Linked DNA regions of Astyanax mexicanus. The protein of the gene in region 2 purifies or fractionates together with the protein of the main gene of each other region. This does not show direct contact. Links are inferred from orthologs where the notes say so. Each region holds a gene or a part of one and is shown on either strand. Other genes may lie near its edges. The genes, in order: fbxo36b, skp1 and ccna2.

Region 1 (10,974 bases), on a different chromosome or scaffold from region 2:
CAAGTTTTCACTGCATCCAGAAACAACATGTTCCCCCCTGAAACAACACAACATCACAATTATACCATCAATCACATTCTTATCCAGTATGAAGTTCTACTATAATAACATTAATATTCAGTATTAAGTTCTACTGTAATATCATTCATATCCAGTATGAAGCTCTAATGAAACATTAATATCCAGTATGAAACTCTAATAACATTAATATACTGAAAAAAGGCTCTAATGAAACATTAATATCCAATATGAAACTATAATAACATTCATATGCAGTATGATGTTTTACTGTAATATCATTCATATCCAGTATGAAGTTTTTCTATAATAATATTCATATCCAGTATGAAGTTTTTCTATAATAATATTCATATCCAGTACGAAGTTCTACTGTAATACCATTTACATCCAGTATGAATTTCTACTATAATAACATTAACATCCAGTATGAAGTTAATTAATATCCATTTACAGTTGATTTAATGTTTATTGAAGGAAAATGAAAATAGTGGTGTTTTAATTTAATGCTATTGTAAATTAACAATAAATAAAAATTAAATAAAATACTAATATGATAACATTGATATCCAGTATGAAGTTCTAATAACACTAAGATCTATTTAACATTAATTTAATGTTTATTACAGGTGAAAGTAGTGGTGTTTTAATTAAACAGTATTGTAAATGACCAGCAAATAAAAATAAAATCAGACAGCATTAAAATGTGATTGTTTGATTATAATTACATTAGTAAAAATGAAATTGTAGATTATTTTCTACTCAAAAATATATATTTTTTTCGTTTTCCTTTTTATAACATGACCAAACATATATTTATATGTGAACGCATGGGGAAAAAAATATTTTCTTTAAATAAAAAAAAAATTATAAAATTAAAGAAAATACCACACCGAACCCCGCCCCCCACCAGCTCAACACAACCAACCCACATAATACAGTTTTTTTATGGAATATATAAAAAATGAATTATAAAAATGTATATTTATTCTTTATTTTTTGGTTATAAAATGATCTTACCTGGCTGATGATGGACAGATCTCTGCTCCTCCGGTGCTCCTCAGAAGATGTGACTGATGCAGGTTCTGCAGCATGCTTATATACACGAATACAGTCAATTATAGTCTCATTTAAGCACATATATACCTGCAGTTCAGCCTGATAAATCCAGAGGTCATCAGGTTTAACTGAATAAAATAGTGGCGAGGCTACGTTCTCTACATCAGCAGTGAAGATCTGAAATAGGAGGCAATTATCAGGCCGTTCAGAGGGTCAGAGGGGAGAATCTTCAAGAACATTATGTATTTCTGATAATTCACTGCATGTAAAAAACATTTTAATGTATTTGAACTCAGGGAAACAATGCACTCATAACTTTTATAAAGTATCTGTGTAAAAAACGCTGAGGAACCTGTGAGGAAAAACTTATATAATGATATTAGAATATCATTAAGAAAGTTACTTCATTTCAGTAATCCATATAATATGGATAACAGCCAATGAAAACCCAAAAATCAGTGTCTCAGAAAATTTGAATATTATGTAATAAGACCAATTGGTACTTTTGTTTGGTACTCAGTGTGGGCAGTGTGCCGAGTCCTGCTGGAAAATGAAATCCGCACCCATTGTCTGGAGGAAGAGTGGAGAGACACACAGTCCAAACTGCTCGAGGTCTAGTGTGAAGTTTTCATTTTTATGGAAATGAGGATTTCATTTTCCAGCAGGACTCGGCACACTGCCCACACTGCTTACCAAAAATACCAATTGTCTGTAAGCTTCATAATCACTAATAATAAAATAAATAAACTCTTAAAATAGATCACTCTGTGATTAATACAACTATATAATATATGAGTTTCACATTTTCAACTGAATTACTGAAATAAAGTCACTTTATTGATTTATTTGATATTCTCATTTTTTTGATGCACTAGTATATGGAAAAATAATGATAAATCAGAAATAATTCAGTTTTTTTATGGATTATTTTGTTGCCACACCATGTATTGCCACCCTCCATATTGCATATTGTCAACTGTCCAATTAAAAAAAAGAAAGAGAAAAAACTCAATGTGAAAAGTCAATGTAAAAACAGTTTATTTCAGATATTTTTAGAGAGTTTCTATTGGTCCATTCATCAAGAAATTGTTACACAGTGTGAGGAACAGTTTGTGTGTTCAAATTAAGTAGTAAACTTTAAATCAACAAAAATGGAGATGTTTTTTTTCTATTAAAAATTCAGAAAGAGATAAAAATTGGTGTAAAAGGTTATAATCTTATTTTTCTGTAAAATAAATCAATCATTTTTCGCACCAGATTATAAGGGGCATTTTAAGCAACACTAGTAAGGAACAAGGTGTCGCCATGTTTCCATTCTAACTCAGCAGATCTTGCAGGTGAGTGGCCAGACCTGTAAAGCTAAGCTAAGCTAAGCTAAGTAAAAAAAAAAACAACTTTTTTTTTTTTAACTCAAACGAGTGCTGAATGTTAATCTACACAGATTTCTCTATTGAAAACTATGTAGTTTGGTAAGTAAAGCACTTCCATTTCTTTCCGAATTTCTCCAGCACTAAGGCTAGAGCATTAGCATTAGCAGCTAACCACTAACGGTAATGCTAATAATGCTGCTCCAGCAGTGCTAGCCAGGGTTGGCAGCAGACTACAAGCCTATAATACTCACCTCTGAATGGTGAAAGAGCTAGTGCTTTGTATGGTTAGCGGGTAGTGCTACTACTGCTCCAGCCTTAGTGCTGGAGAAACTTCACTGAAACTCCTGCTCCTTAATACCTGATTGATATATTTTTTTGGGGAAAATTAAAGGATTTTAAGTGCGCCTTATAGTGTGAAAAATATAATAATAATGAATATTTAAATGTCCATTTCTACACTGCAAGAACAACACAGTAAAGACTATAAGAAAAGAATATAAACAAGACGTTAAAGGTCTTTTCTGTAAGTAATACAGTTTAATAAAAACCATATATATAAAACAATAACGCTAAATGGATGTAAAATCGCTGTGAGATTAACGATGTTTTAGTTAATCTGTAGAAGCTTCTGAAGGTTTCTTTATTTCAGTCCATGCTTGCTCTCAGAGAGTCTGATCAGCGAATCCACCTGAAGGCCGGTGGCGGCGCCAGCGCCTGATTGGTTCCTCTGTTTCCGGCGGCTGATCTGTTTCTGCAGCTGCAGTTTGTTGGTGAAGAAGACGTTTCTCCAGCCCAGTTCCTCGGCCAGTTCCTCCACCTCAGCGGGAACTGTGTCCCAGTGCATCCTCACCGTCTGCTCCCAGAACTCCTCCGAGCTGCAGAGCTGCAAATAATGCAGAATCATATATATTAAAGATATCCTCCATATTACAGCAGCTAGATACGGAAACCCATCTAATATCAGCGGGATATTAAACACTGTTTACATGGTTTACTCAGGAGATCTTTTGTCCCCAGAGCCATCAAACTCTTCAACTCCTCCCGGTGGAGGCGGAGGAGAGAGGTGGATGGTTGAGGAACGTCTCTCTCTCTCTCTCTCTCTCTCTCTCTCTCTCTCTCTCTCTATCTATCTATCTATCTATCTATCTATCTATCTATCTATCTATCTATCTATCTATCTATCTATCTATCTATCTATCTATCTATCTATCTATCTATCTATCTATCTATCTATCTATCTATCTATCTAAACCCAACAGTTTAGCAGGATATTAAACATTGTTTACTCAGGAGATCTTTTGTCCCCAGAGCCATCAGACTCTTCTATCTATCTATCTATCTATCTATCTATCTATCTATCTATCTATCTATCTATCTATCTATCTATCTATCTATCTATCTATCTATCTATCTATCTATCTATCTATCTATCTATCTATCTATCTGTGGGAACACCACATACTAGTGCATCTCAAAGAAAGTGGAATATCATTGAAAAGTTTTCAGTAATTCAGATACTCAAAATCTGAAACCCACATATCATATATCTAACCACCTTCTCACGGCCTTTTCCCTTTTTATTTATTTTAATTATTATGTCTTTTCATTTATCTAATTTCATGTTTTACCTTTTAGCCCTTTTATATTTTATTTATTTGATTCATTTCATCCTTTTATTTGTTTTATTACTGCTTTTACTTTTGACCTTTTTTTATTTAATTTATTTATTCATTTTTATAATTTTTTAACTTATTATTATTATTATTATTATTATTATTATTATTATTATAATTATTATAGTTCCAGCATTTACGTTTTTATCATTGTAATGATCTGAATCTCTTTGTTTTATTGCTCTACATTTTAGCCTTTCTGTTTTATTTTTAAGTTTTTTATTTCTTCTTTATTTTTATTTATCTTACATTGTTTGCTTGTTTTTATCATTTAGACTTGATTTTCAATTCCTTTAATGTTGTAAATGCTCGTCTACATTGAAAATGGGGTTACGCTCAATGTATTACGGAGTGGAAATAAAGGATAATTGATTGATTGATTGATTGATTGATATTATATAGATGTATTAAACACAGAGTGATCTATTTTTAGAGTTTATTTCTTTTATTGTTAATTATTGATTATGGTTAACAGCCAATGAAAACTCAAAAATTAGTGTCTTTGAAAATTAGAATATTATATTTTATAAGACCAATTGTTACTTTTGGTAAGCAGTGTGGGCAGTGTGCCAAGTCCTGCTGGAAAATGAAATCTGTATCTCCGTAAAAGTTGTCATCAGCAGAGAGAGGGAGGCATTGATTTACTTTAAATGAAATGTAAAATTTACTGATGATCAGTGATGGTTTGTTTGGAGAGTCATGTCTGTCATCTGCTGCTGTTGATCCACTGTGTTCTATTATCAAGTCTAAAGTCAGCGAGATGTGGATTTCATTTTCCAGCAGGAGTCTGTATTCCTCTCTGTGTTTGTAAATATGTAAATATTGAGTAATCTGTTTTTGCACAGGGTTTATATTAAAAGGGAAAATTACAGATAATCCACAGTTTTTACCTGTTTAAACCTGCAACAGGTTCCTGCCAACCGAGCCACGTCCTCCAGGTCCAGGTGAGACATGATCTTCAGGTGTATGGACTCGGGAAGACGCAGGAGATAGTCAGCCTGACCCTGGCACAGATCCAACGAGTAATTCAGGATACCTGGACCAAAAACGATCTTCACCTGTCCTGAGATTAACCATTAAATACACACCTTATAAGTTACACACCTTATTAAACACGTACAGCCGGAAAATATATATATATATATATATATATTCAGAATATATCATTACTCTGCAGCGTGCTGTCTTCCAAATATTCGCTGTGTGATTCCTTCAGTTCTCCAGGTCTCGCGTTTCTGAATTCAGCCCTCAGAGAAATCTTCCACCACCTCCAGATCACCTGCATCATCAGTTGCAGGAAAAAGTATGTGAACCCTTTGAGATTATGCTTGCATTTCTGCATAAATTGGTCATTAAATGTGTTTTGATGTTTATCTACGTCACAACAATAGACAAACACAGTCTGCTTAAACTAAAACCACACAAACAAATATATTTTTGCATGATTTTACTGAACACAACATGTTAAACATTCACAGTGAGGAGGAATAGTATGTAAACCTCTTGAGAAGCTTGATTGCTTGATGTGAATCATGACTCGCACAAAAGATCAAGCTCTCAGAAGACCTACGTTCAAGAATTGTGACCTTTAAGCATGAAGCTGGAAAGGGTTACTCTAAAAGTATCTCTAAAAGCCTTTGATGTTCATGTGTCCACGGTAAGACAGACGCTCTACAAATGGAGAAAGTTCAGCACTGTTACTGGAGCTACTCTCTCTAGGTGTGGTAAAGTCCTGTAAAGGTGACTGTAAGAGCACAGCACATGCAGAATGAGGTGAATCAATGATGTGAGGAAGAATCCTAAAGTGTAAAACATACCAGTCATACTTTAAATTTTGTAAACTTTTTCTAACCTTTAAAAAAACGCTTTTATTCTGGAAATTTCTGACGCCCTCTCAAATTTAACTGTGCTATAGGCGAGAATGATGTTTCCATTTACTCCCATGGTTCTCCCTCCTGCCCCGCCCCTAAACCCTTACATCACCCAGTGCCCCTCCCAGAAAACCTCTGGAATATAATCAAGAGGAAGATGGATGATCACAAACCATCAAACCACCAAACTGAACTGCTTGAATTTCTGCACCAGGAGTAAAGCAGCATAAAGTTATCCAAAAGCAGTGTGTAAGACTGGTGGAGGAGAACATGATGCCAAGATGCATGAAAAAAACTGTGATTAAAAACCATCAGGATTATTCCACCAAATATTGATTATTTCTGAACTCTTAAAACTTTATGAATATGAACTTGTTTTCTTTGCATTATTTGAGGTCTGAAAGTTCTGCATTTTTTTGTTATTTCAGACATTTCTCATTTTCTGTAAATAAATGCTCTAAATGAGAATATTTTTATTTGGAATTTGGGAGAAATGTTGTCTGTAGTTTATAGAATAAAACAACAATGTTCATTTTACTCAAACATAAACCTATAAATAGCACAATCAGAGAAACTGATTCAGAAACTGAAGTGCTCTCTTCATTTTTTACAGAGCTGTAAATATATATATTTTTTTATTTACAAGGGCCTGAAGACACATGCTGCTGCAAGTGCAGTAATTAATAATATTAATTTCACTTAATATTTCCCATATTCTCTTAATACTGAGCTTAAAAAGGTAAAGCTTAAGTTTTAGTTTACATTGTCAAAGTAAAATATCACAGTAATTATGTATAAATATTTAAAAAAAAAAATTAAACTAAATGCATTTTTGAAAAATTTTTAACCTCGTTTCCATCAAATGCCAACTTTTCCGAGGACATATAACCAACTGTATACAAAGAAATATATGAAATATAAAGTGATTTAGCTGGATAATATATTTTGATAATGTTTTTTGTGTAGTGTAGTTTTATAAGATAAATACTAAAAAGAAGTGAAGTAGTAAATGTTATTTTTATGAGGATAAAAGTCGCAGTATTCTGATATTGCTGTTTTAGCTGGCTGGTTCTGAAGCCTGTGTGCAGATGTTCAGGTGAGTAACAGGTGTGCTCAGGTGAGGGGAGGGGTTTACCTGTGTGCTGGTGATGAGCAGGTGGTAGTAGTCTTTGATTGGAGCAGGACCCTGACCCCCGATCTCCAGCAGACTCTCCTCCTGCACTTTCGCCATCTTGCAAACTCCGCTCGGTGTCATGGCAACAAGGACGCGCGCAACCGTTGCCATAACAAAGCAAGCGCATGAGAAAGCCACGCCCACCGCGCGGGCACGAGCATGAGCCAGACTGAACCGGGAGTGAATTTAATATTTTATAATTATAATCTAAATTATTTTAAAGAACACTGTCACCTTCCTAAAATAAAACCACATACTCATTTTTTAAAATGACTTTTTAATAAAATTCAAAATAATCATTTAAAATCGGACATAGGAAATGACCAGAATTTAATAACTGTAACATAAATAACAAATACTAACATTAAAACAAGAAAATATAATAAAAACTATAATAAAAAAGGGATTTATAGCTAAACACCATATTATATATTTATTAGATATATTATATTCTGACAATCTACACCCCGCCTTGTCATATTCTCCCATATTAATAATCCTAAAACCTTAAAAGACTAAAAACAAACTATATAATAAAATTAGAATAAAATTATTTTTTTTTATTTATTAAATTATTAATTTAAAAATTAGAACCAACTAGAAACCTTAATCCTAATTCAACATTAAGAAAACAGTAATTAAAAAAACATGGGGGTTTATGGGGGGACAAAATGCTAAAAAAAAATATCAATAAAACTCAAAATTAATACTTAAAAACTCTTTTTAAGCAACTCATTTTAAGCAACATTTATAGCCTAAAGATTTTATTAATAAGTGTATTTTTTCTTTATGTATACTTTATTATTAACATTTATTATTATAGTAAAACTGGGGACGAAACCTGGATCGTGGAGATTGGTCCTAGAAAGCTATTAAAATGACCCACGTCACATTTTTATTTTGATTAGAAACAATAAATTAGCTTAAGTCACAGGAAATGATTCAAGTAAAATAATAAAAAAAAAAAATGAAATTTTTTAAGAAGGTGACGATTTTAAACCTAGTAGTCTTCCACACAGCGCAATAAAAAAAGCTAACACTAGTAGCATTTAGAGGACAAAATGATTATCCATTATTACAGATACAAAAGATCTCAAAAAATTTGAATATCATTGAAAAGTTACTTTATTTCAGTAATTCAGTTAAAAAAATTCAGTTGGATTTCATTTTCCAGCAGCATTTACACGCTGTCCACACTTCCAAAAGTACCAATTGGTCTTATACACTGTTTTTCGGGTTTTCACTGGCTGTAAGCCATAATCATCCACAATAAAATAAATAAACGCTTAAAATAGATCAGTGTGTGTACAATACATCTATATAATACTTTGAGGTTTTGCATTTTCAACTGAATTACTAAAATAAAGTAACTTTTTAATATATTCTAAGTAGACTTTATGAACATGAAAGCTCTGCATCCTTTTTGTTATTTCAGACATTTCTCAAAATTCTCTTTTCTGTAAATAAATGCTCTAAATGAGTATTTTTATTTGGAATTTGGGAGAAATGTCTGTAGTTCGTAAAATAAAACCATTGGAGATATACACCCTTCAGATTATTAATAGGCAGTTACAACACAAAAAGACCTTTCAAAATGGGTAAAACGGGCAGAAATTGAGTGTTTGAAAGGGTCATAGAGGCAGATCTGGCAGTAATGGATCTCTCACCAGGAGGAACACTACCCAAAAGTAGCGTCAGAGAGGTACATAAATAATCACAATTACAAAAGACAAAAAACTAAAAAGCGTGGTAAAGAAAAACACTTTCACACACTTCGTACAGTAGTTAAAAAGCTTTAATATTTTTATACATGTATTTATATATGTACACATTAACTTATACACTCGTAATGGTAAATCTGATGTAGGTCTAGTTGAAAATCCATAGATGGAGGACGAGACAGGTGAAATCTGCTTCTGCAACTAAAAGCTTCCACAGCAGATCATATAAAAGCCTTATCTATAACGCTGTGCTGCTGTACACCCCCTGCTTCAGCTACACTCCAGGGCCCGACCCAATCACACGCTAGCAGATTAGCATACGGCACCGGAGGCCAGGTCTGATTTCTGAGCTCAGGTTCATCCGGTCGGTCAGGACGTTCGGTACGGCCATGTGTGCTCACGCAGGCCTAGCTTATATACAGGAGATGCTAGGCTAACGATGCTAACAATGCTAACGATGCCAACAACAAAACACTGGACTGGACTTCAATTTCGCTACATTCAGACTGCAAGGTCAAAGCTAGATTGTATCCAGAATTTGGATTTGAGACACAGTCTGAACAGCCAGAAACCACAAAAATCTAAATTTTTGCAAATCAGATCCAAATCACATTTGGAGGTGGTTTGAAAAATGATTAGAATTTGTTTCATTCAGATTTTAGAAATTTTAGAGATTCATGGTGTTCTGAGAACTTTAAAAAGTATTTTAAAAGTGCCAATTGTGTTGGTGGTACCAGGTTCACACCACTTAAAAAATGATGAGTTTCTTTGATTTTACCTTATTAAAAACCTCTGGAATATAATCAAGAGGAAGATGGATGATCACAAACCATCAAACCACCAAACTGAACTGCTTGAATTTTTACACCAGGAGTAAAGCAGCATAAAGTTATCCAAAAGCAGTGTGTAAGACTGGTGGAGGAGAGCATGATGCCAAGATGCATAAAAAACAAACTGTGATTAAAAACCACCAGGATTATTCCACCAGATATTGATTATTTCTGAACTCTTAAAACTTTATGAATATGAACTTGTTTTCTTTGTATTATTTGAGGTCTGAAAGCTCTGCATCTTTTTTTGTTATTTCAGTCGTTTCTCATTTTCTGTAAATAAATGCTCTAAATGAGAATATTTTTATTAGGAATTTGGGAGAAATGTTGTCTGTAGTTTATAGAATAAAACAACAATGTTCATTTTACTCAAACATAAACCTATAAATAGCACAATCAGAGAAACTGATTCAGAAACTGAAGTGCTCTCTTCATTTATTTACAGAGCTGAATATGGATATATGACACTAATAATACTAATAATCAGCTTTGAACGAGTCTTTCACCAGGAGGAATGCACTATGAGTCTATAAGTGGGGTGTATAAGAGCTCTCTGTTCTGATTGGCTGCCCAGTATTGCTTCAAAGTACTTAAAAAATAATATGAATAATAAACAGTCTGGACTGGAACACTCCTTATATCTACAGGGTGAATGGGGCGAGGCTTCATTTTTTACAGGCTAAATGAGCAGATTTCTGTAAATGTGCAATAAATGGTTTTTGCGACGTCACAAAAACAATGTATTGGAAATGGGCTATTAATACAGGTTAGTACAGTCTGAAATGTGTAAACCGGGTAAAGAACGACGCATCCTAAACTAACAGAATTTATATTTTTATGCCATTTTCTATTTTACATTTAATATTGAGTATTTTTTTTTTAAATAATAAGGAAAAAAAATAGTAAGAAATGATGACATTATTTGCCATACAAATTTTTGGGACGATATATTGTCCACAAAAAATAAAAAATAATAAAACTGAGTGCATTTCTGTTAACCTAGAACTACTATGGGAGTCTCTGAAGTTCTAACAATATTAAGTATATATATATATATAGGCCCGTCACGGTAAATACATTATCATTTCAATAAACGTATCATATAACCTATAGAAATATTCAATTAATTTTCACTGACTTCAATAATCGCCCAATATGTCTACTTAAGAGTTTGTTTACACGAGAAAAAAAAAATTGGCAAAATCTTCACGCTTTAAACTAAAAGCAAAAATTTTGCAAAACATTAATTTAAAATCAA
Region 2 (10,974 bases):
ATTCAGTATGTTCTCCATCGTTTCGAGATTAAGGTTCTTGTTTGTTTTTAGTTGATGATTCTGATTTGTGATTCTGAATCAGCTGATATTTGTTGATGTTTGTCGTTTGATTTTGTGTTTATGATGGATTGTGTTCGTATTTGTGACGTTTTACATCCACGCTTTATTCACAGATAACTCTCTTGACTGTTCCTAGGAGGAAAAAGAAGTGCATTCGATTCCTTCAGGGAGGAAACTGTTCCAGCCCACATTCTTCCGATGGAAGTGCTATAGACTCTCCCTCCACCCCCCCCCACCCATCCCGGCCCGGCTCCCCCCCACCCTCACCCCCCGGCCTGCACCTCCACCCGGCCCAGAGCAGAAAACACCCCGCCGCCCTGCCACTGCCCCTGCCACTGCCCCTGCCACTCAGCAGACCCGGCAAACTCTCGCTCTCCTTCAGCAGAGTCAAATCAGAGACCACAGGCTGCACTGCCACGCCCCACTAACACCTGCCTCCGCCCAACTGCCTCCGCCCACACCACCTTTACCTGCAGGAACCTCCAATAAAGAGCAGAGGTGCCTGAACCTCCACCACCCGGCTTCAGGAGGCTGAAGGAAGTCCTGCAGCATGAATCTTCCTCCTGAATCCACCCGAACTCCACCTGCAGAAAACCTGTTTTACTGTTTTATTCATCCTCCAACAGCCTGGATTAACTCAAACCCCCATAAACCACGCCTCCATCACCTCCATCACCCCCCCCCCCACACACACACACCCTCATCACTCCCCCAGAACAAACACGCGCCATTTCAAGTGTTGTAAATCTTAAATTTTTTTATAGATATGGAATTCTCTATATATAACTACTTTTATATGTTTTTATGTAAAAAAAAAAAGAAAAGAAAAAAGACAAACTATTTGGATGACATCATATTCCTTCTGTTTTCATACATTAAAAAAAACACTTTTCAAAATAGTTCTGTTCTGTAGATCTGTAGTGTTTCTGTTTTTCTTCTCATTAATCCAAACAAACCCAACGTCTGTAAAACGTGTGCATTTGATCAGCATCTGAAAGTCAGTCAACAAACAAACAAACAAACAAACAAACAAACAAACAAAAAGCTTCACTGCAGTTTTCTGTCTGAACTGTTCGTTCGGCTGTTCTTTACCTGATCAGTATTCTCTCTCTCCTCCCAGCAGAGGGCGCTGTTCTATAATAAACAGCTCATTATTAATGACTGACCAAACAAAACACACCTGTATCACCTGTCTTTAGTTTATTTTATACAAGTGGATTTATTGTTTTTTCTTTTGATGAAACTGAAATAATATTCCTCATTTTAATACATTAAACTATTTTGGAAACCTTGTGTTGTGTGATGTTTTATTAACCTCTTATTCTCCATCAAACTTCCGTATTATTATTTCACTTCAAAATATTCCCAAACCTTTAAAATGAAAAGATTGTTTTAATCAGAAAAATGATTTTATACGATTTACTGATTTGAGATCCAGTCTGTAGTTTATAAGTGAATTTATGTTTAATAAGGAAAAATGAGCTCAGATGTATTTTATTCGAGTCTGTATTTCTACATATACACTTCACAGATGTACAGTTTGAGTTTTGAAAATGATCCGTAAAGAAAGTTTGAGGTGGCTCTGGAGGAAAAGTACAAATTCAAATATTGTCCAGGTGAACCAATAAAACACCTGGAAGATAAATGATAATGAATGCAAATTCCTCACAACCTCTATTCTACTCAAACATGGTGAAGGTTTGATATTAGATGGTGGAACTGAATCACTGGGGTTAATAAAGCTCCAATCAGATCCAGTAAAACCAGCCGGATCCTTAAACCTTCAGATAAATAAAAAAATCCGCCAGTTTCCTGAAGACCAGACTGAAGTTCTACACAGGCAGCAGCTGAACATGGGCTCCAGAGTCCAACAAATAAACCCCTTATGAATGTTAGTATTGTCTGATGTTGTGAAATTACAGAGATTATATAAAGATCTGTCTGTAGTTTTTTCAGATTTAATGTAGAATTTCATTGAACTACAGGTCTGTTTACTGAGCTTCAAATCAATTAAAAACTTTACTGTCTAAATAATTCTGTACCTTTACTGAACCCGCGCACACCTGTTCACACACAGCAGCTGTTTACCACCAACATACCTGTTCACCTGCTCCGAGCGCGAGACGGGTTTCTGTCTGTGACCCAGATCTGCTCCATTTCCATACAAAACAGCCCGAAACCAAATAAACCTGCCGCCCGAATTACAGAGCAGACTGAACTTCAATAGCAGCACTAATGCTGTGTGTGTGTGTGTGTGTTTTATTATTTAAATGTCTTGCCCAGGATCTTCTACATTAACCTCGGCTTCTGACTCGAGAATCTGCAGAGGGAAGAAGCTCATTAAACACAGAAAACTCGTAACGTTTTGTTGGTTTTATTTTCGGAATTTAAAGATTAATATTCCTAAGCTTCATTGTAAGAGCAGAACTAAAAAAAATGTGTCCAATCCTTTACAATGACAGCAGGCAAAGTAAACGTCCGCAAGAAAAACACATTTTACTTCTTAAACAAGAACTTCCACACAGGAAACTTCCACCTCCCAGATCCTCCAGATCTCCTCGATTCTATTCGCTCTTCTTCAGCACGACTTAAGGAAGTACACACGAGCTGCGTTTATAAAAATTACAATCAAGCTTTAACCATTTCAATTAGTCAAAAACAAAAAAAAATCTACTTGGTTGCTTCATAAAGAAACATCTAATTTGAAAAATAATAAAAAAAGAGTGACTTCTACAGGAAGGAGGTGAAGACTATTTATTTCTGCTGAATATATAAAGAGGAATAAAAACAGGGAAAAAAAACTTTAAATTATAGATTTTTTTGCACCACACAAGCAATGAAGATCATGCTATGAATACACGAGGGGTCTCATCCTATTGGTCTACAGGTCAATATCAACAATATGAACAGTGCAGTGCAACCAGTAAATCTGTTTTTGGAAAAATCCGTACAGTGTGTTAGTGTCACATTCCTTATTTCTCTTCACACCACTGGTTCTCCTTGCGTACCTGGAGAGAAAAACCAACAGAGAACATTTAGAGAACATTTAACAGACCCTGTTTACACCATGTACTGCATCTGTACCTGGATCAGATTTAAACTGCGTGTGTTTACACTCTGAGCTGTGTGGAAGAAGTATGTAAATTTGCTTATTATGCAGTAATTATTACTGAGGTAGTGGGTGATCGGTTCATCTCTAGGCCGAGTGATCAGATGTGCAAACATTTGAAATATGTCTTGCATTTGTGTGTCAGATATTATACTTACATACATTATTCAGATTATCCCGATGCATAAAGCATCCAGGTGTAAAAAGGGTTAAACTACACAACCCTGTTTAAATTCATTCAGGTTTCTCTTTAGCTGATCAAAATGTTTCCAAAATGCATAAAAATTAGATTTTTCTCCAAACTGATGATGAATATTAAATTGGTCAACTTAAAAATGATTGATATCCATCGTGTCCACGAGCGAAAGGACAGAAGCTCCAGCTCTATAATCACAGACGCTGATAAGCCAGACTGAATTACATGCTGAAGCTCCACCAGGCTGAAGTTTTTTTTTACCTGAGCTTCCTCTTCCTCTGTGAAGTCATTTTTGATATTGAACGTCTTTCTGATTTCCTCTGGGGTTTTGCCTTTGATCATATTTGCGACTGTCTTGCAGGTGACATCTAGTAAGCCTTTGATGTCCAAATAATTTGCAGCCTAAACAAGGGAGAAAAAGATGAAAGTAAGGGAAGTGTGGCTGATCAATCTATTATAAAATGATGCAAATGAAACCAACTCTCCACCACAACATATATAAACATATTCCATTCCAGAACTTTAATCCATACACTCTTCCAGCTTTTCCCACCAACAGCCCCCCCCTGCCATCCCCCCTCCACGGGGCATTTACTCATCTGGCTCTGTGTTGCTGCACCACTATGCAAAAACAGGGATTGAGTTACAGAGGCAGCAGATAAACATGCTGCACTTTTTCCAACACATCTCACACACACACGCACGCACCCCGGACCCGCAGGACCCGCCACGCCACTCAGACACCTCCATCAACTCATGAAGAGGCGGGTAATCGGAGGATCAGCTGGGGAAGGGTGCTGGAAACAGTGTAAACACTAAAATGTGCAGGGCACTCAGCCCTTTAAGACTAGGATCTGCACCCACTGATTTAAACTGGTTTAACACACAGTTCCCAGAAACCAAACCCACAATAATAGAACACATTAAATAACCCAACATCAACCAGAACACTGATCCTAATCTCAGGCTGCAGGTAAAGCAGCTCAAATCCTCTTCCTGTGTGTTTATTCTGTTCACACTATCTGTTTAACATGGTTTATATTCCACAGTCTGAACAGTTTACATCCTAAACCGACTAAAGGGCAGAGCTTCATCTAAAGTTTCAGCTTCAGCATCACAGGAGCTATCAAGCAGTTCCAGCATCTGCAGCTGAGCTTATCCAGCGTACTCAGCCACGCCCACTTCCTGATTAACCTTTATTTACAGCTTTTTTAAAGCAGTTAATTTAAACCACATTTACCTGCTGTGTGAACGTAGCTTTAGATCACAATTATTAAATCTGTTTAATCACTACAGCCAAAAACACATGATGAGAACCTCACAAGTGTGTGCGTTCAAAAAGAAAAGACAAAATTCACACCTATAAACAACTGAACTGAAACAGTGATTTCAGAATGTAAAATGTAATTAGAATAAATACATGAAAAAACACTAAATACGGTTTGATAAACAATAGAGCCAACAGACCAGGATCAGCTCGAACAGAGTCCCCTGATCCACTTTCAGAAACTCCTGGTCCCAAACCGGGATATCATCCGTCCTCTTCTCTTTATTCTCGTCATCTTCAGGGGGAGGAGGGTCATCTTTGTGATGAGTGCACCACTGAATCACCTGCAACACACACGAACACACGGCTTACTCACACTTAAATTAACTACAATTTACCTCTGTGATGAACAAACAAAAAATCAATAATGTTTTTTTTTTTTTTTTGACCATTTTATTATATTTAAAACCCATAAATAATTAGTTATATAAACACAGTCAAACAAAAACATCTCTACAGAAAAACGAAAGAATCCTGAACTTTGAATGGAATCTGTGCGAAAGGTCGATTGTTCCACTCATTATAAAATTGTGACATAATATATAAAAATCTAAAAGGAGATACATGGTTTATCCCACAGAAACTGTACACCACATTATGTATGTAATGAACATTATTATAAATCTATTTTTATGGTTAATCTATTTATTGACTAAGCAGGACTAGGTGGGCGGTGGCTCAGTGATTGGAGCACTGGGTTTTTAAGGTTTCAAATATTTTCTTTTGTTGCTCTTATTATAACAACAATGTAAAAAACAAATCCAGGTGATGTTCAAATAAAAAAAGAACAGCTAACAATAAGGTCAGAAACTCTACCTTCTTGAGAATAGCAGCGTTCACATTGGGAAGAGGGACAGGATCATCATCACCTTCATCATCCATCCCCAAATCTAGCAAACAGAGCAAAAAAAAGAAACTTGACTAATGAAAGAAAGTCTGATTACAATATATAAATATTATATACTTATTTTACACACATACTTACATAATATACACACACACACACACACACACCTATATATACACAGGAAGACCACAGAGTATCTGCAGAACTAATTTTACCTCAGTCTTTGAAACAAGTGAATTATTAAGACCTGGCTGTGCTGCATCACTGATCACTACCTTCCTACCAGCAGCAATGAATTTTTAGATTATAAAAACAGACACTGTTTGTTTATTTGTCAGCTTACCTTCTAGCATGGTCTTTATGGTCACAGACTGCTTTGCAATTTCAACGTCCACCTCAAACATCTCCCCATCGGAGCTCTGCAGCTTAATTGTCGGCATCTAGAGAGAATGATTTTATTATAAACAAACAGAATCTGGAGTGGATCTAGATATGCAGTATTTTAGTGGTGTTTATAGATTGTTTTCATGGATTTCTATAAAGTCTTTTCAGACAACTAGAAACAAAATGTCCAAACCACACATTTTACTGTGTATTGTTCTGCACTGACCCGGTTCAAAACACACCCAAACACAACCTGCAGCACTGCGACCTTCGGCTGAACCACGTCGTTACTGATTTCACCATAAAACTCTCCCTCCCTCAATCCCCCTCTCCACCCTCACACACTGAGTCACACATCTCTTCATGTGATCTCAGACTCCTAATTACATATCTGCTACAGATCAATTTTTCACTTGTAAAGTAAAATAAATTTTACCCGAGTTCGACACATCAGCAGTTTTATTATACAGTTTATTATTACTATTTTATCTATTCGAGTCTCGTTAAACCAGGCCTACACACATTACTGCACTACTGCTACCTGTGGACACAATTACATTGTTAAAATGTGCAAAATACTGTCTTTAAGCTTGTGACCACTTAAGCACACAAATGATTTAATATTGTATTATTAATTAAATGGCAATCGCGCCATCTCTTATTGTGTGTGTAAGCATTTATCTACATAATTCAATCACATACATGGAAGTGTTTATGGTGAGCTGGAGGAATAGTTTAATAGTGAGCTGTGGTAAACTGTAGGGCCTGATTAATCACAGCCTGTTATTGCAGGCAGCTCTGCTGAGCAGAAGGGCTAACGCTAGCTAGAATTTAAAATTATATAGTTTACACAGCTAATATTCATAATATATAATCTTTACAACAGACAGACTGCGCACTGTTATACTAGTTTATTTCTCTCTGACCGCAAATAAACAGATATTAATCCGGTTTTATAGAAACAAACCTGAATCCAAACTGTGGGTTAGCCTAGCCTAGCCATTAGCACTGCACTGGTGTTAGCTCGCTGCAGCGGGTTATATATTGCGCCAATTAACGCGTCTCTCCATTCGTTTAACATTAATACAGTTTACAGTGAGTTCATATTTAAACAGAAACACCGGCGAGGCGCTTATTACAGTAAAATCATCCCCAACAGACCCCGCTGTCGCCCCGCCGTCCCCCCGCTCAGAACCGGGTTAGCTTAGCTTTAGCTGCGAGGCCTCGCCTAGCGACCTCTCTATTCTCTCATAATTCCGCCAAAACCCGACTCAGAGCGGCCGGATTTAAACTCAGACGGACTCTGGAGACGCTGAGAACCGGCGCTGCGCTGTTCCGGTAAACCCACCGTGTCGGCGTCCTCCTGGAATCAGCGGTGAAGCTGCGCAGAGTCAGCGGGCGGGCGGCGCTGTGGGTCCGGGCTGAGTGCGGCTGGAGCTCTGCGCTCTGGCTCTCATACCGGCCAACAGCTCCCCCTGCGGCCCCCCGGCGCACTGCAGCCCCTCACCGCGGCCTTCACCTGTAAACATCTACCACCTAAAACATCTAATAATAATTATAATAATAATCTATGATCTACAATAATAATATTAATAATCACCTTTAATAATAATAATCTGCAATCTCCAATAAAATAATATAAAATAATATACATCTAATATTATACACATTACAGAATCAACATTAATATTAAAATCATTTATCACTCTTAGCCTTTCTCTGTTTATTATTATTATTATTATTATTATTATTATTAATAACCCAGAAGCTCCACCATTTTGTACAGAACTGAGCTCTGCAGTAAAGCTTTATTAATACTGACTGAAGTTAATATATATTTTTCAAAATATAAGCATTACACATATTCATTCTGCACAAAAATGTTCAAATGTGGTTATTCAAACATTTAGAAATATTCATCCAGTTATTTGTCTAATTAAACTGATTACAGGGTAGATATAAAAGGTGAAGATGTTATTCTTGGTTTAACTTTAACGTCTCTGCTGTTAACTGTATCTAGAATCCGTTTATCTTTAGGAATTTTATCTACAAAAAAGTTTTATATTAAAAATCAACGGAATATATATACGTGTTTATTTTTATAACATTGTCTTAGTTTACTGAAGAATCTTATCTGTTTATAGAGGACAATAAATTAATTAGATAACTAACCTAAACGTTAAACTAACTAACTACACAATTAATAGGTGTTTATAACATCAGGCAAAAAAGAAATAATACAGTGAACACTTTAATCTATTTATACAAAAAGTCCACCAGATGACGCCATTTCTCATCACAGCCCTACATGTGTTGATTGAGGCTCTGGATGTAATTAATAATATTTGTTATAATTAAACACATATCAGCAGCACCCCAGAAAAGGAAGAGCAAGAGTTTCCTCTTTACAGAGTATTTTGGTTTGTTAAACACTTCATAGTCTAGATCACTTTATTACTTACTTATAGTTTAGGAAAAATAAAAAATATTGAATGATGTAACCTCTAATTACTGGTAAAATAAACACTATACTGCCAAACTATTCTCTCCTGCATCCAGATCTCTGAACTCAGGTGTTGCAGAATCTCCTCCGTCTCCACAGGTGTTTAATAAAAAAAAAGCAGAAGCTCATCCTGCAGAGGCTTCTACAAACACTAGTGAAAGAACGGCTCTCTCAGGAGCTCAGTGAATTTGTGGTAAGTGTGGTGGAGATGGGATTATGAAAACGGTGCGTTTTTTTTCCCGGGATTCGGCTCCGCCCCTAGAGAGGAGACTGAGAGACAGCTTCTCATCCCACATCAGTGTCTGGCCTCACAAATGTGCCTCTGGAAGAATGGTGAGAAATTTCCATAAACACCATAAACACACTCCTTAACCTTGTGGAAAGCCTCCCTAGAAAAGTTGAAGCTGTTTGAGCTGTAAATATTGAACCCACATCATGTTAAACTCTCTGGATTAAGACTGGGAATCATTTATGCGTGAAGACAGACAAGTGAACTTTTACAGAATAGTGTGAGTATGATGAGTATATACAAGCGAGTATATGAGACCATATTTCAACTTTGGTCTTTGTTCATTAATAAAAACCAATAGAATAGAATAACACCACACGATCAACAGTATTAACTAGATAAACTACTCTCTGTAATACAGATCAGTTCCTGCCGAGATTTAACTTTATTCCTACCTGTATGAAAAGCTGAATACAGTATAAGAAACATGGTAAAATTATCACACAATCATCAAGAGGATTAACTGCAGTTCTAGTCAGACAGGTCAAAGGTCAAATAAAGAAACTGCACACAGAATAAAGGAGCAATTTCCAACTTTATTATTCAGCTGGTGCCCATTGTACAGACATTTACCCATCACAAGAACCTTTCACCATTCTCACCATCTTTTGATGTCTGCCATACACAAACTGACATGATGCCTTTAGAACGTGTAGATTCTCTCTAAGTATCTCTTCTGTTGTAAATGGCTGCTGGGGTATATACTTACAGAAAAAACATCCTCAGTGTAAAAAAAAAAAAAAAAAAGAAATGAAAAAGGAAAATATTGCTCAGAAAACGCCACATGCCTCAGTTCACCTCCTCGCTTTGAAAAAATGTGAAAGAAAAAAGTGCAAACATTAAAAACTGTTCAGAAACATGAAATTCACAAAGTATAGCGGCGGAAACGCGTTCAGAGTTCGTTTCCTTCCCACAGACCGAACGAGGAGAACGGAGAGAGAAACTACTGAGATCATGAGATAATACTGGACACAGGCTTCTGGATTTAATTTTTTGGGTATGGCACACATCGTTTGGTCCATGTATACAGACATTTCTTCTCTGAATCTTTAAAGAGCCGCCCAGTAACCCCCGCCCCCCCACCCCCAACAAATCCCCCTAACCACCTCCCCCACCCCCCCATTGACCGGAGCTAACCCGCCCCCCCCTGTTTCTGAAGCTGAATATAGATTATTACATGGTGGCGATACAGCTCTGTGTTTCACAGGATTAGAGGAAGTAGTCCGGTGTTCGGCGAGTAACGTGGGGTTCTCCTCTGCGAGGGGCGGGATCAAACTGCAGGCTGTGAAGAAAAAAAGATCAATAGTTAGTCATGTTTATTGGGGATAAGAAACAAAAACAAAATATTCCTCTTTTTTTTTTTTTTTACAGAATGATGTTCAGGTTCTACCAGTTAAAAGAGCAGAGGAAAATACACCTGCAGAACAGAGCTAAACCAAGTGCCTCATCTATTTATTTATATATTTATACATACATACATACATACATAAAATATTATATAGCAAACATATCCACATATTCTTTCTACATTATTTTATTAATCTAAAGACACTTACAAAGAATACTTTAGGGTGTCATCCAGTTCCATGATTGCTGCTTGATTCCCGCAGCGATAGCAGTAGTTTGGTGCGCTGAAGATCGTTACCACATTACGATCGTGGCACCAGTTATAACCCTGAGATTAAAGAATACATTAGAAATCTTCATTAAAATCAGGCAGTTATACAACTTTAACTCCTGCAAACCCCTAACACCACAGTTTCCATAATCACCTCCACCCTCACATCCAGCGTTTACCCCTCGACTCACCTCCATCACCAGCTGATGAGCTCTGGAGACGAGGGTAAGGCCGTTGGCGTGGTTAAAGGTTTCAGAAATGTCCTGCCCGAAGGTGTAGCCGGCGCCACGGGGTGAGATTCCCCAACCGCCGCGATCATCCGGATCTGACCACAGCAGATCACACATCGGCCCCTGAGGAACACACAGCACGCATTACACTACTGCAATAATCCTGTACACACACACACACACACACACACAGTAATTAGCAAGGTCATCCATACTCACCTCGTGTGGAACTTCCTGTAGGCGGTCCAGGGCGCGGATGTGATCCAGCGTGTCTATAGACGGGGACAGTCCTCCATGAAGACAGAATATCTGAGAAGATCCAGTTTAAAAGTTTCAGCAGAGATTCAGAATACATTTAGAAAATGATCAAATACTAAAAGTTAGGTGATGAATTTACCTGTCCATCTACCA
Region 3 (10,974 bases), on a different chromosome or scaffold from region 2:
AGTGAAAAGGCAGAGCACTGACTTAAAGAACTGCAGCATTGCACTACTTAAACTTGCCTTTGCACCCAGTGCACTGTAACATCAGTGCAGCTCTTTGATCAGTGCTTCGAGGGATTATTTATAAACGGCAACTGTGTATGTCTGTTTTTTTTCTTATAGGATTGGATGAAGATATTTAAGCTTAATATAGAGTAAACAATTGCTAGGTAGATCTCGTTTATTAGACGTCCCCGTGCAGGGAAAGAGATTTTCATGTCCTTATCCATGTGTATGTTTCAGTTTAATTTGTTTCAGAGAACGTTTTTATGATTGTACTTATGTTTGTCTTGAGCTGGATTACCTTGAAATCTAAATGTAACCTGTTGAACTAGGTTCATTTTAACAGATTAGTGAAGAACTGATGATCAACTTTAAAAGGTGGAGAGGGGAACAATCACTGGTTCACTTGTTTAGATCTTTCTTTTTTTAAGTAATTGACCAGACCATTGAAAGATCATTATTTTTTGTAATTGTACTGCTGACTATTTACACACACACTTGCAACCTTTCAGCCAAATATTGCTTGCCTTGAATGTAAATTATTCAAAGTAAGTGCATTTCTTTTTAAGTTATTTCCTTATAAAAACGATTGTTCCCTTGCTCTGATGTTTTTAAAATTTATATTTATCTCAGCTAATTGTGTATGTGAATTAAAAAAAGTCAATAAACTAATTCTAATTCAAATTGCCTAATTTACTTCAAAGGTGAACTATGGTGCAAAATGGATTTGGCGGTGTAGTGAAACAGATACAAACTTTTGTTAAATAGCCCACCTGTTTATTTAAATACAGCACTTTTAGCTAGTGCTCCCAACAGGTGTACAATGCTAGCAATATGTGGTATGATTTATTTGCGTGGACAACAGTTTACCATTAACAACTGAGTAGCTCATTGGTAAAAAAAAAAAAAGTGTTAGAATAAAAAATGAGGTACTGAAGTGTGTACAAGAAGATTAAAAACACTTACAGTACCACAAGGTAGTTCTCCAGGCACTGCCATCTATAAATTAAGTCAGGATAAGTCAACGTAAGCCCAAACTAAACTACAGCTGAGGAGTCATGTAAATAATTGTATTTTCACAGAATAAAATTTCAGTATGTTGTCCAACATAATCTTAATTTCTTTGCATGGGCAATGTTGCCCCATCACTAGCATTATAATCCTGTCAGGGGTGTCAGCAAAATGCTGCATTTCAGAGCAAAGACTACACCCCACCCATTTCACACCGGATAGCTCATTTAATGAACAGGTTACATGAAGCAATGTTTACTCATCTTTACCTATAGACTTTACCTTTAGAGATCAGATGAGCCCAGAGGTCAATCAATGTTATAGTGCACGCTAAAGATTAAGTTAAAGCAGACATGCTTTTGTTGCAACACATGTATGGTACATTCAGCTTATTGAATCATGCACATCCTGTGATGTGGTTTTCCATGCACACATTGCAAGGACTATGCTGAAACAAGCTCACCATATTTTAACTACAGTCACATATATTTTTAAATGTCAGAATAACCATTTAACAACCCAAAGCGTTGAGCATTTTTATGCTACTTATTACCAAAACAACCTCAGCCTCCAGAAAAGAACCTAGAATATATGTAGGTATACAGCTATAGTTAAAGCACTTCAAATTATACAAATTAAGCAACCCATCTGAGATTAGCCAAATTGATTTAAGGCTAGACTGGAGTACTGTACACCAAATCTTGTCTGTTCAACCTCACTCACTACCTTATGTTCTTGTTGAACCATCAAGCAAACTCAAATTAAAATCACAATCAAAAATAAAAGTCAAGAGCCAGCATTGTAGAAAACCAGTGGCAAGGTTTTATTAGATGTCAATTTTATAAAACCTTTACAAAATCAGTAATAAGCACCACTGGTCGGTTTCATTAAAAAATATCAAATATGAAAACAAAAGAAAGATCAAAACAGTGCTTGATTACCACCTGTACAAAATATCTGGATACATCAAGCATAAAAATAGCAATCCTACAGGACTGCACATAAAAATATACAAGAAACACTAATCTCACCACAACCTATACAAAAGGTTTTGGTGTCCATTATTGGAGTTAAGGGAACTTGCAACATTTCAAAAAATGTACACAAATTCTTGTTAGAGTCTGAAATTCAGGAGCATAAAGTACAAGATGAGCAGGTTCAGTTCAACAGCAACTTCTCTGGGGGTTCAATAAGAGAAACCTCATGGTACCTGGAAGAGAAAATAATCCACTGTTAGACAATGTACACAGGTATATACAGTCAATACCCTAAATCAGTGGTTCTCAGACAGTTGTACATATACCACTGGTGGTACTTAAAGCATCCCAATGTGGTAAAGTAGAGGACATTTGCTTGTATTTAAATATTGTACAATGTTGTAGAACCACTGCCTTAAATAAATCTAACTAATAAAGGCACCATTTAAAACAAGTCAGCATATTGGCTTATTAAAATGTTAATGGGCTAGTCACCTTGTAAACATATAAATATTGAACCAACACACTTGTGTACATTATGACAAGTTGATAAATAATTAACGTCTAACATTTGCAACTTCAACTTACTTTGAGCCCTTGTATTTCTCCCTGACCGACTGCTGTGCATGCTGGGCAGCACTGAGGTAGGTCTGGTGCAGATCTTGAATACATGGCATAAGATCTTCCAATGTGTAGCTGGTCATCTCAGCAAGAGCCTTTGACTAAAACACAAAAGGTAGATTTGAAACAACCAAATTAACAAGCAAAATATTGATCTCAAGATAAAAAAATAAGAGCTTAGCAAATAACTAGAATATATGTATACAACTTACCCATGATCCCCCTGTGATGGTGTAGTTTGCCAATATAAAGGCTGCAGCAGCTGTTTGAGAAGGTAGGTACTTCAAGAAGGGGTCAGAATCAACCAAACTTAGCTCTCCAAGAAACTAAAAGAAAAGTAATGGCATGATTAAGAAAAATGCTGCAAAACCTCAAAACAAATAAATGTTCGACCACATTTGCCTTCACTCACCATTGACAAGCTCTCAACCTTGTTGTCCACACGTTGCCGCAAGTAGTACTGGGTGAGAAACTGGATGATCGTTGGAGCTGCCAGATCAAAAGAAAGGACTTTTAGCACCAGATGCTCCATCCTTAACACTTGTTTCTTCGTGTAGGTGTCATCAGTGATGTAAACAAACTCTGCCACCTCTGGGGGGTAGATCTCCTCGAATTTTCTGCAGGCCACCAAAAAGCATGTGAGCAAACCTCTACACCAGTGGCGCACAAGTCAAAAAGCAGAATGTAAAATACTTACGAAGCCAACAGCATAGCCGCTGTGCCAACGAGCTGCAGTTTTCCCCTCAGCACAGACATTGAGGACAGGAAGCGGTCGATGTAGTTCACTGCCAGGTATAGAGTCTCATTTTGAAGCTTGTACTCCTCACCAACCTCCACTAGCCAGTCCACCAGGATGGCACGCATACTGTTTGTGATGTCTGGCTGTTTCTTCATATAACCTGCTTTGGGCCTGCATTTGAGCTGAGGGGAAAAATAAATAAAATATTGAAAGAATTCAAGCCAACAAAACCCATAAATGTGTATTCAAGATGTATAACTTACCTCCATATCCCTTAGATGTGTGTGAATTTCAGCAGCGTAGTCTGTAACTTCATTTACATTTACCAGCCTCTCCTCACCTTCAATTATTGACATATCCATGGGAGAATCTATAACAAAAGAAGAAAGTGTTAGAACATTCAACGCAAAACACTCATACACTTCTATTTGCATACCAAAATCTGCCATGTCGTACCAAAACTGAGATCCATAGGCAGGTCGATAGTAGCAAGGGGCTGCCTTAACCGGGTTACTGTGGGGTTTAGTGTTAACGGGGAACAATCCATGGTGGCTTTTTTGGAAGAAACATGTTTCTTTGAGCAGGCACCATCAGGTTCATCAACATGAATCTGAAAAGCAGGCTGCTTGGAAGAGGGCTTTTCTGCACAACTTTTGCCATGGTCATCTGATCTGCAGGGCTGTACATTAACCTGGTAACACAAGGGAAAATACAAGCAATTAGCCTTTATAGTAAAATATTTTAAATCTACACTAACCCCGTTCAGTGTTTAAAAGCACTGAAATTACCAATTTCAGCCTTCATACACTAACCAATATATCTCCATGTTCTCAAGGCAAATTGTAAGTCAGTGCAGACAAACAAAACTATGAAAAAACAAATTAAGCAACATTGACAATCTTCAATAAAATATCAAATCCTGAGAGCTCCATTGTGCAGGGCTATATTACTGAACTAACTGAGCTGATGTATTTATGAGCTCAAAATAGGTTCAGTCGATAAATGGAAACATTTGTAAATTGCAAATGTCTATGCCTTTACCAAAACTGTCTGGGTATAATCATTTTTCCAAAACTTATCCAGGCCTGGAAAGTGTTTAAATTTCATGACCATACAAACCCTGACAAGCAAGAGTGTTACTTGTATTAGAAAATGTTTCTCTAATACTGGTGGTTAATTTTTGACCAGCTATACAAAAACACTACCAAATTTAGGGCTTAACAGATGCAGGTAACATTTAACAATAAGGATACATTAACTGTGCTTATAAAAGTAGGTCAACTAGTTATTTGACACCAACCTATTCAAAATATCACTACAATTTTTTAACCCCTGTACCAACACATTGGAAACATTCTTGAGAAAATAAGAAATAATTAATGGCTTAACTAGCATAAATTAATACTTTGACATTAAGTAACCATTTAACAAATGTTTTACTGTCGTAAGTGCTGTTTTTGTTAACCTTTATTGTAAAGTATTAGCTGCATGGCAGGGTGCCTAGAAGCACTGAGCAGCTGCAGCATAGCTAGTGTCACTCCTATGGAACCTATTGAGGTGGGGAAAATGGCGGTCTGGGACATGGAGGGAAGCTATTTGGCCATTTAAAACAAAAAACAGGACTAAAACGCATTTAATTACCACGTAATTCAGGTTTAAAGAAGTGTTAAACTTATAAAATGAAGACTTACAACATGAAATGCACTTAACAGATGCACGTAGGCCCATTTAAGCAGGTAGCTAGCTAGCTAACCATGCAGGTTAACCCATCCAGCCAACTAGTGCTGCTAGTTAAAAAATAATATCCAGCCTAGCTTACTAGATCTATAACAAGTGAGTTGACCGAGCAAAAGTAGGAACACAGAGTCTAAAGTCACATTAACAAAGTGTAACTAAAGTTTAGATCACCATTCACAAAACCCCCACAGACCTGTTTGGAGCCTCGCAGGGCGGGCTGTCTCCTCGGGTTGTTCTCCAGCACTCCCAACACGGTTCTGTTGGACGGTTTCGGGTTCACGTTCTCCTGGTTCTCCAGCCTACTCTTTACTGCTGCCGCTCCGCGCAGAGAGAGACGGTTCTCCTGGTTCTGGACGGATCCAGCTTCACTAACTTCGTGTGAGGACATTTCTGCAGCGTGTTAATAGTAAACTCAGGCTATAACGAGAAAAATAACACGATCAGCGAATCTAAAACAGCCCAGAACTATAATTTGTTTAATGTAAGATCCCACAGCGGCGCTCGGTAATCATTAAGCCGTTGTTAGAGACAGTTTAGGCGGATAGAGAGGGGTTGACCTACCGTGTGAGACACGCAGCAGCAGCAGAGTGTAGTTAAAGTTATTCAGCTGCTGATCAGACAAAAAATAAGAGTCATTTAAACTTCAGAACGCAATAAATAAACAACGCTAAACTACAGCTCGGCCTATAATTACACCGACACAAAAAGCGCCATAATCCGGATCAGAACCGCCTAAACTCGCTGTATTGACTCAGGCCGGGTTGTTTCAGTGCTGTCCAACCCGCCGCCGCTCCTGCTCCGGGTTTGTTTCTACCAGTTCAAGTAGCCCGCGACTACTCAAACCGACCAATCAGAGCGCAGCGCAGCGGAGCGTCACTAATCTACGGCAGCCGGGAGGGAGGCAGCGCGCGAGCCGTTGAGAAGTCGATGTAAGAGATTGATTGGCTCAGAGGAGAATTTAAACAGAGAATTGAGGAGAATATGGACAAAAGAGCACAATAGAAGGAACAGCCTGGAGATGGACCTAGTTTAGACCCTCCATAATAGATAAGACTGTTATAATATATTATTTATGTTTATCTGTTCTTTAAAAATAATGAAAAACTAAATAAAAGAAGAATAAAAAGAGAGTATTACAATGCAAAAGTGAAGAAAAAAACACATGAAGGAGAAGGACAAGAAAAAGGGTGGATTTTAGGGTCATTTAGCTATATGCAATAAAAGTAAAAAAAAAATAAAATAAATAAAGGTAGATTTTAATGCCACTTTGTCATTTAAAAATATGTGATAAAAGTACAAATAAAGGTAGATGTTAAGATTTGTATTTATTTATTCATTTATTTATATATAAATTACAGTGTTTATATCACACTGTCACACAAAGCAAATGTTTTTTTCAGGAGATCCTATTCAACATGTGGAAAATAACTTTATAAATATTAGTACAGAGCAAACATAATTAAGAGCAGAAGTCACCCACCAAGACGTTTCCTCTTTATTTTAATACCATTGCTGATCTACTGTTATACTCACCTGTGGAACAAACTTCCAGAGATCTTTCTTACGTCTGCAGAAACTGCTGGCTTATTTAAATCAGGGCTTAGTTAGTTGTAGTTTATGTTAACTTAGAATGTCCTTTAGATTTTTGATGGATTATTTATTAGCCTGTCCTATTCTGAAATGTGTATATCCAAAATGGCCAATGATTTTTTTAGCAATAAAACTTTTGCCCTTTGCAATGTCAAAAACAGAGCCCTTATCTCTATGAAAGGAATTTACTGTGGTTTAGTGAAACAAAATGTAACACTGATATATCACATTTCGTATGTATTTCAGATCTTCTTTAAATTCCAGATTAAACTAATTGTTTTCTGATCAATTGTTTTTCGTTTGTACAATTAACATTCTTGTACAAAAAGGTAAAATACCCTTAACAACACACACAAAACAGATAATGACTTGAAAAATTTATTACATAGAAAAATGACCCCACATAAAGTGAGTACATGAGCAATTTGTCTGAAAAACAGGGTGTCACTAATCTTACATAACACAACACATAACCTAACACAATCTCAGTATGGCATTGATACTTAAGCATCTGTTATACAGCAAATAAATACCACAGAAAAACATTACAATTTCAGTTTGATGACAGACTGATCTATCTTCATCCATCATTAAAAAACTCCATCAGAGAATTCAGGTCATAGTTGTCTAATATTTCAAGAAGTTGGGAAACCTTAGTTTTGACATTTTGTCCTTTAAATTTGAACTTGTCGATGAAGAGGTCGGTTATCATGCCTGTGTGAAGACAAAAACATGTTAATTTAAGAGTTATTAATAATAATTGAATAGTTAAAAGTAGAATCATGTTATATTGTACATATTCAAGATCTGGGAACAGTATCACTACAGTATAATCAATACTATCATAATATTTCTTTAGAAATACAATCAAATGAAGCTTACATAACATACAAAGACAACTTACCATACAGCCTTTCCAGATGGGCTGGCTGCTTCTTATATTCTTCTAAAAGACGAGCAGATTCGTCAAGTATACTGCGATACTCTGGAATCAGAAAATCCGCATTCCCTTCATGCACCTGCAGCTCCTGCACAATAAACACATATAAAAATGTACATACATTACATCAAGTAAGTTTTAATTAAGCAGTTAATATTATAATTCATAACTGCACACAGTACATTACCTTTAAAGCATCAATTAGCTGAACCTTCTTGGCCAATAATAGCTGATACTCAAGTTTAGGGTGAATCATCTTCAGGGTATGGCTTACAGAATCTTCATTCACTTCTAAAGCAGGGCAAACAGAAAAAGGTCGCCACAGCATATACGTAATCAATAAAATACAGTATACAATGTTACTATAACACTGTACAGTATATAGTTACTAAATATAGTAAATTCCAAATCTGGAACAGATCTGTTAAGGATCCTAAGGACTCACCATATGAAATGTTCAGGTTGATTTTGCGCTTGGTGGCTTCCTTAGAGAGAACATCCTTCAGTATGGATATGGTGGAAATATTATCTGACTTAAAGTTCCCTTCGCCTTTGCTAAAAAATAAAAGAAAACAAAAACACACGCAATTACACAACATACATTACTTATACAGATGCATCAAATAGATGTTAATTACATCTATGCGGTTTTGTGTCAAAGTAATCATAAACATGCTCAAGTTTGTGCTAATTAAGGTGACCACTGTTTCACCAGAACAAACCTCATATAAATGGTATTCTATCTATATTCAGAATCTCTGTCTCATATTTATTTGTGTTTATTAGGCATATTTAAGCAGATATTTCAGAATTTTCTTAAAAATTACATTTAAACTGAATCATCAAAAGAACATACTCCAATAACTTATGTGTACACCTTTCACTGGATTTTTTATATTTTATATTTACACTGATAACTAGAAATTCTTAAAACTACATAATCTTTAGATTTATTTGTCTTGTTCTCCCTTCTTCTGTTCTAACTGCAGTGGAGTTGACCTCACCAGTAGCTGGCCTCAAGCTGTGTTCCCAGGAAAGTGTTCTGAAAGTAGAAGGTGATGTTTTCTCCAGCTGGGGTTTTCTCTGGCACCTCAGGCAAGCAGAACACGACCCACGAGTGAATCTCCGCAAAGCTAAACTGGCCCACCAGCCGCAGAGTGTTCATGGGTCTGTAGAGAGAATCAAGGCTTGTTCTTCTAACTATCCTTCTGACACACTTTTTAGCAAATAAATGTTCTGTATTGATTTCTATGGTAGACAACTGATTACTGCATGTGATGCCCACCTGTCTTGGTCAATGCTGTGAGTCCTCTGGTGCAGGGAGAGCGGTTTAATCTGGTACTGTCGGACCTGGCAGGTTTTGGGCTGCAGACGGGGTGTTACGTAGGCCTGAAGTGTGCCATACTGACCCTCAATTGACCTCACCTGGAAATTAATGGAAACAGTGTGAAACAGTGTGAAACAGGCTTCACATTGGGAGACTGAGCACTGAGAGCAACAGAGCGCTGAATAAGGAACACTGGATTACCGGTAACTATTCCAACTGCCAGTATTTGAGAGATAAAATAAGAATTTAGGAAATAAGAATTATGCCATATATTTATTGCCATAAAAAATACTCTAAAATTGGTACTGTTAAGTTAAATCAAATGCCCATATTTATTGTCTCATAATGCTATCTGCTCTCCAATACTGTCAGAATACTGTATCAATATCAGTTACCTTAAGTTCCAGCCTTGTAGTGTTAGCCTGGCATCTGTAGGTGGCAAGCAGGAAATTTCCATTTGGCTGTTGGGAGAAAATATGTAAATAGTAATGCTTTTTAAACTCACATTAGGCCTACATTTGCCGATCCTGTTTGCTTTGGTTCGCAGCATAAATGAAGATGATATAATAGTGTTTTACCTCTGAATCACATTCACTGAAGCTGACAACTGCTGAGTTCTTGTCCACATCTAGTAGATCTATAGGAACATCACTCTGTTCAAAAATAAAGAATATTAAAATATTAAATTATTTAGTAATAATATTTTAAGTATACTAAGATATTAATATTAAAGGTTATATATTTTTACTATTGTAAACCTTTCGAACAGTGCTGACCTGAAGGAGCAGGTTGTCAATGGCAGTCTGCACCTCCAGCGTGAGACTGTAGCTGGCGTCATCCTGGCACAGGGTGAATCTGTCATTGATGCTAAAGACGGGCACCGCAGATACGGCCGTGCTTGACTGAGAGCTCTGCTGGTACTTCTCCCGACCCTGCATTACCTTCACCTGCAGCTGCTCTAACTCAGCCCTGAAAACACAAAACAACTCAACACCAATTAGTAACATATTTGTAAGGTACTGCTATGAAGTTGGTGATTAAAATGCATTGAATTTGGATTGTAAGATATTTAACATTTTTTTATGCAATTCCTCTTCAGATAATTTGTAAATTAAGTAAATATATCATGACAGTAATTGATTTATGACTATTAATCATTAATCATTAATTAAACATCTAAAATAAAGTAATATTAATAATTATTAATATTTCACATTTATCTAGGAGAGATTTAGCTTCTCCATAATAAGAGCTTCTTTTTTAAATTCATAAGGAATATCACTAAATAAGAGCTTTGTCCAGCATTACATGTGTAAAGTCTGTACCTGAGCGCAGCCACCTTTGTCTGGGTCTCTCGGCTCATCTTTACCTCATCTCCTGGCCCTGCCTCCATCTGCTGCGGCTCTGTAGTGAGGCCTGACACCCAACCTAGTGACATCACAACCAGACAAGGGAGTAAGATATTTAAAATAGGGTTAAAATACACTATAAAGACATAAGGTTTTGGTCACACCTCTAATCATTGAAACTGTGTGTTTCACAAAGTCTCATTTCCATAGGTGTACGAAATCAAGTTCCAAGTAATGCAGTCTTGGGACTTTACAGACCTTAGATAGAGAACGTGTGTTGCACTGTGTGCAATAGGAGGTCAGCTGGTGAAATTTATTCCCTACAAGATATTCCACAATAAGCTGTGAGTGGTTATTATTAAACAGTGAAAGCATTTAGGAACCACAGAAACTCAGCCACAAAATGTCTGATCATGTAAAGTTACAGAAGGGGTGTGCTGATGAGAATAGCTGATCAATGACTGCAGAGCTCCACACTTGCTGTTAGAGCTGCAAAGGGGGACCGACTGCACGCTAATGACTATGGTAAAAGAACAGAATGTGGTAAAACCTCCTGTAGGTATAATGTGTAGGTGTCCTTATACATTTTTTAATATGGTTCTATATGGCACTACTTTTAATATGGAATCTGCTAACAGCAGATA

Evidence for each region.
Region 1: the proteins of skp1 (region 2) and fbxo36b purify together in Homo sapiens (affinity purification with mass spectrometry; 3 studies listed by BioGRID and IntAct, with this or other methods). This does not show direct contact. The link is inferred for Astyanax mexicanus from reciprocal best matches to the Homo sapiens genes SKP1 and FBXO36.
Region 3: the proteins of skp1 (region 2) and ccna2 purify together in Homo sapiens (affinity purification with mass spectrometry; 4 studies listed by BioGRID and IntAct, with this or other methods). This does not show direct contact. The link is inferred for Astyanax mexicanus from reciprocal best matches to the Homo sapiens genes SKP1 and CCNA2.

What each region holds. Positions count from the first base shown.
Region 1 is NC_064411.1:57,737,037-57,748,010, forward strand, and holds fbxo36b (F-box only protein 36b), read right to left. Parts: upstream 7,278-10,974; 5' UTR 7,277-7,277; coding exon 7,127-7,276; intron 5,400-7,126; coding exon 5,291-5,399; intron 5,184-5,290; coding exon 5,011-5,183; intron 3,331-5,010; coding exon 3,088-3,330; 3' UTR 2,963-3,087; downstream 1-2,962. UniProt on the Homo sapiens protein: Substrate-recognition component of the SCF (SKP1-CUL1-F-box protein)-type E3 ubiquitin ligase complex.
Region 2 is NC_064424.1:48,032,477-48,043,450, forward strand, and holds skp1 (S-phase kinase-associated protein 1), read right to left. Parts: upstream 7,455-10,974; 5' UTR 7,272-7,454; intron 5,980-7,271; coding exon 5,883-5,979; intron 5,583-5,882; coding exon 5,509-5,582; intron 4,977-5,508; coding exon 4,833-4,976; intron 3,768-4,832; coding exon 3,627-3,767; intron 3,069-3,626; coding exon 3,033-3,068; 3' UTR 2,419-3,032; downstream 1-2,418. Other genes in the region: tcf7 (transcription factor 7), read left to right, coding at 174-177; ppp2cab (serine/threonine-protein phosphatase 2A catalytic subunit alpha isoform), read right to left, coding at 9,925-9,997, 10,272-10,390, 10,525-10,686, 10,783-10,872, 10,961-10,974. UniProt on the Homo sapiens protein: Essential component of the SCF (SKP1-CUL1-F-box protein) ubiquitin ligase complex, which mediates the ubiquitination of proteins involved in cell cycle progression, signal transduction and transcription.
Region 3 is NC_064417.1:25,271,800-25,282,773, forward strand, and holds ccna2 (cyclin-A2), read right to left. Parts: upstream 5,935-10,974; 5' UTR 5,686-5,934; intron 5,542-5,685; 5' UTR 5,513-5,541; coding exon 5,318-5,512; intron 4,079-5,317; coding exon 3,844-4,078; intron 3,758-3,843; coding exon 3,651-3,757; intron 3,570-3,650; coding exon 3,346-3,569; intron 3,266-3,345; coding exon 3,061-3,265; intron 2,975-3,060; coding exon 2,861-2,974; intron 2,750-2,860; coding exon 2,616-2,749; intron 2,261-2,615; coding exon 2,209-2,260; 3' UTR 1,850-2,208; downstream 1-1,849. Other genes in the region: bbs7 (Bardet-Biedl syndrome 7 protein), read right to left, coding at 7,295-7,428, 7,619-7,742, 7,842-7,945, 8,100-8,209, 8,659-8,823, 8,940-9,079, 9,377-9,442, 9,560-9,634 and 2 more. UniProt on the Homo sapiens protein: Cyclin which controls both the G1/S and the G2/M transition phases of the cell cycle. Functions through the formation of specific serine/threonine protein kinase holoenzyme complexes with the cyclin-dependent protein kinases CDK1 or CDK2.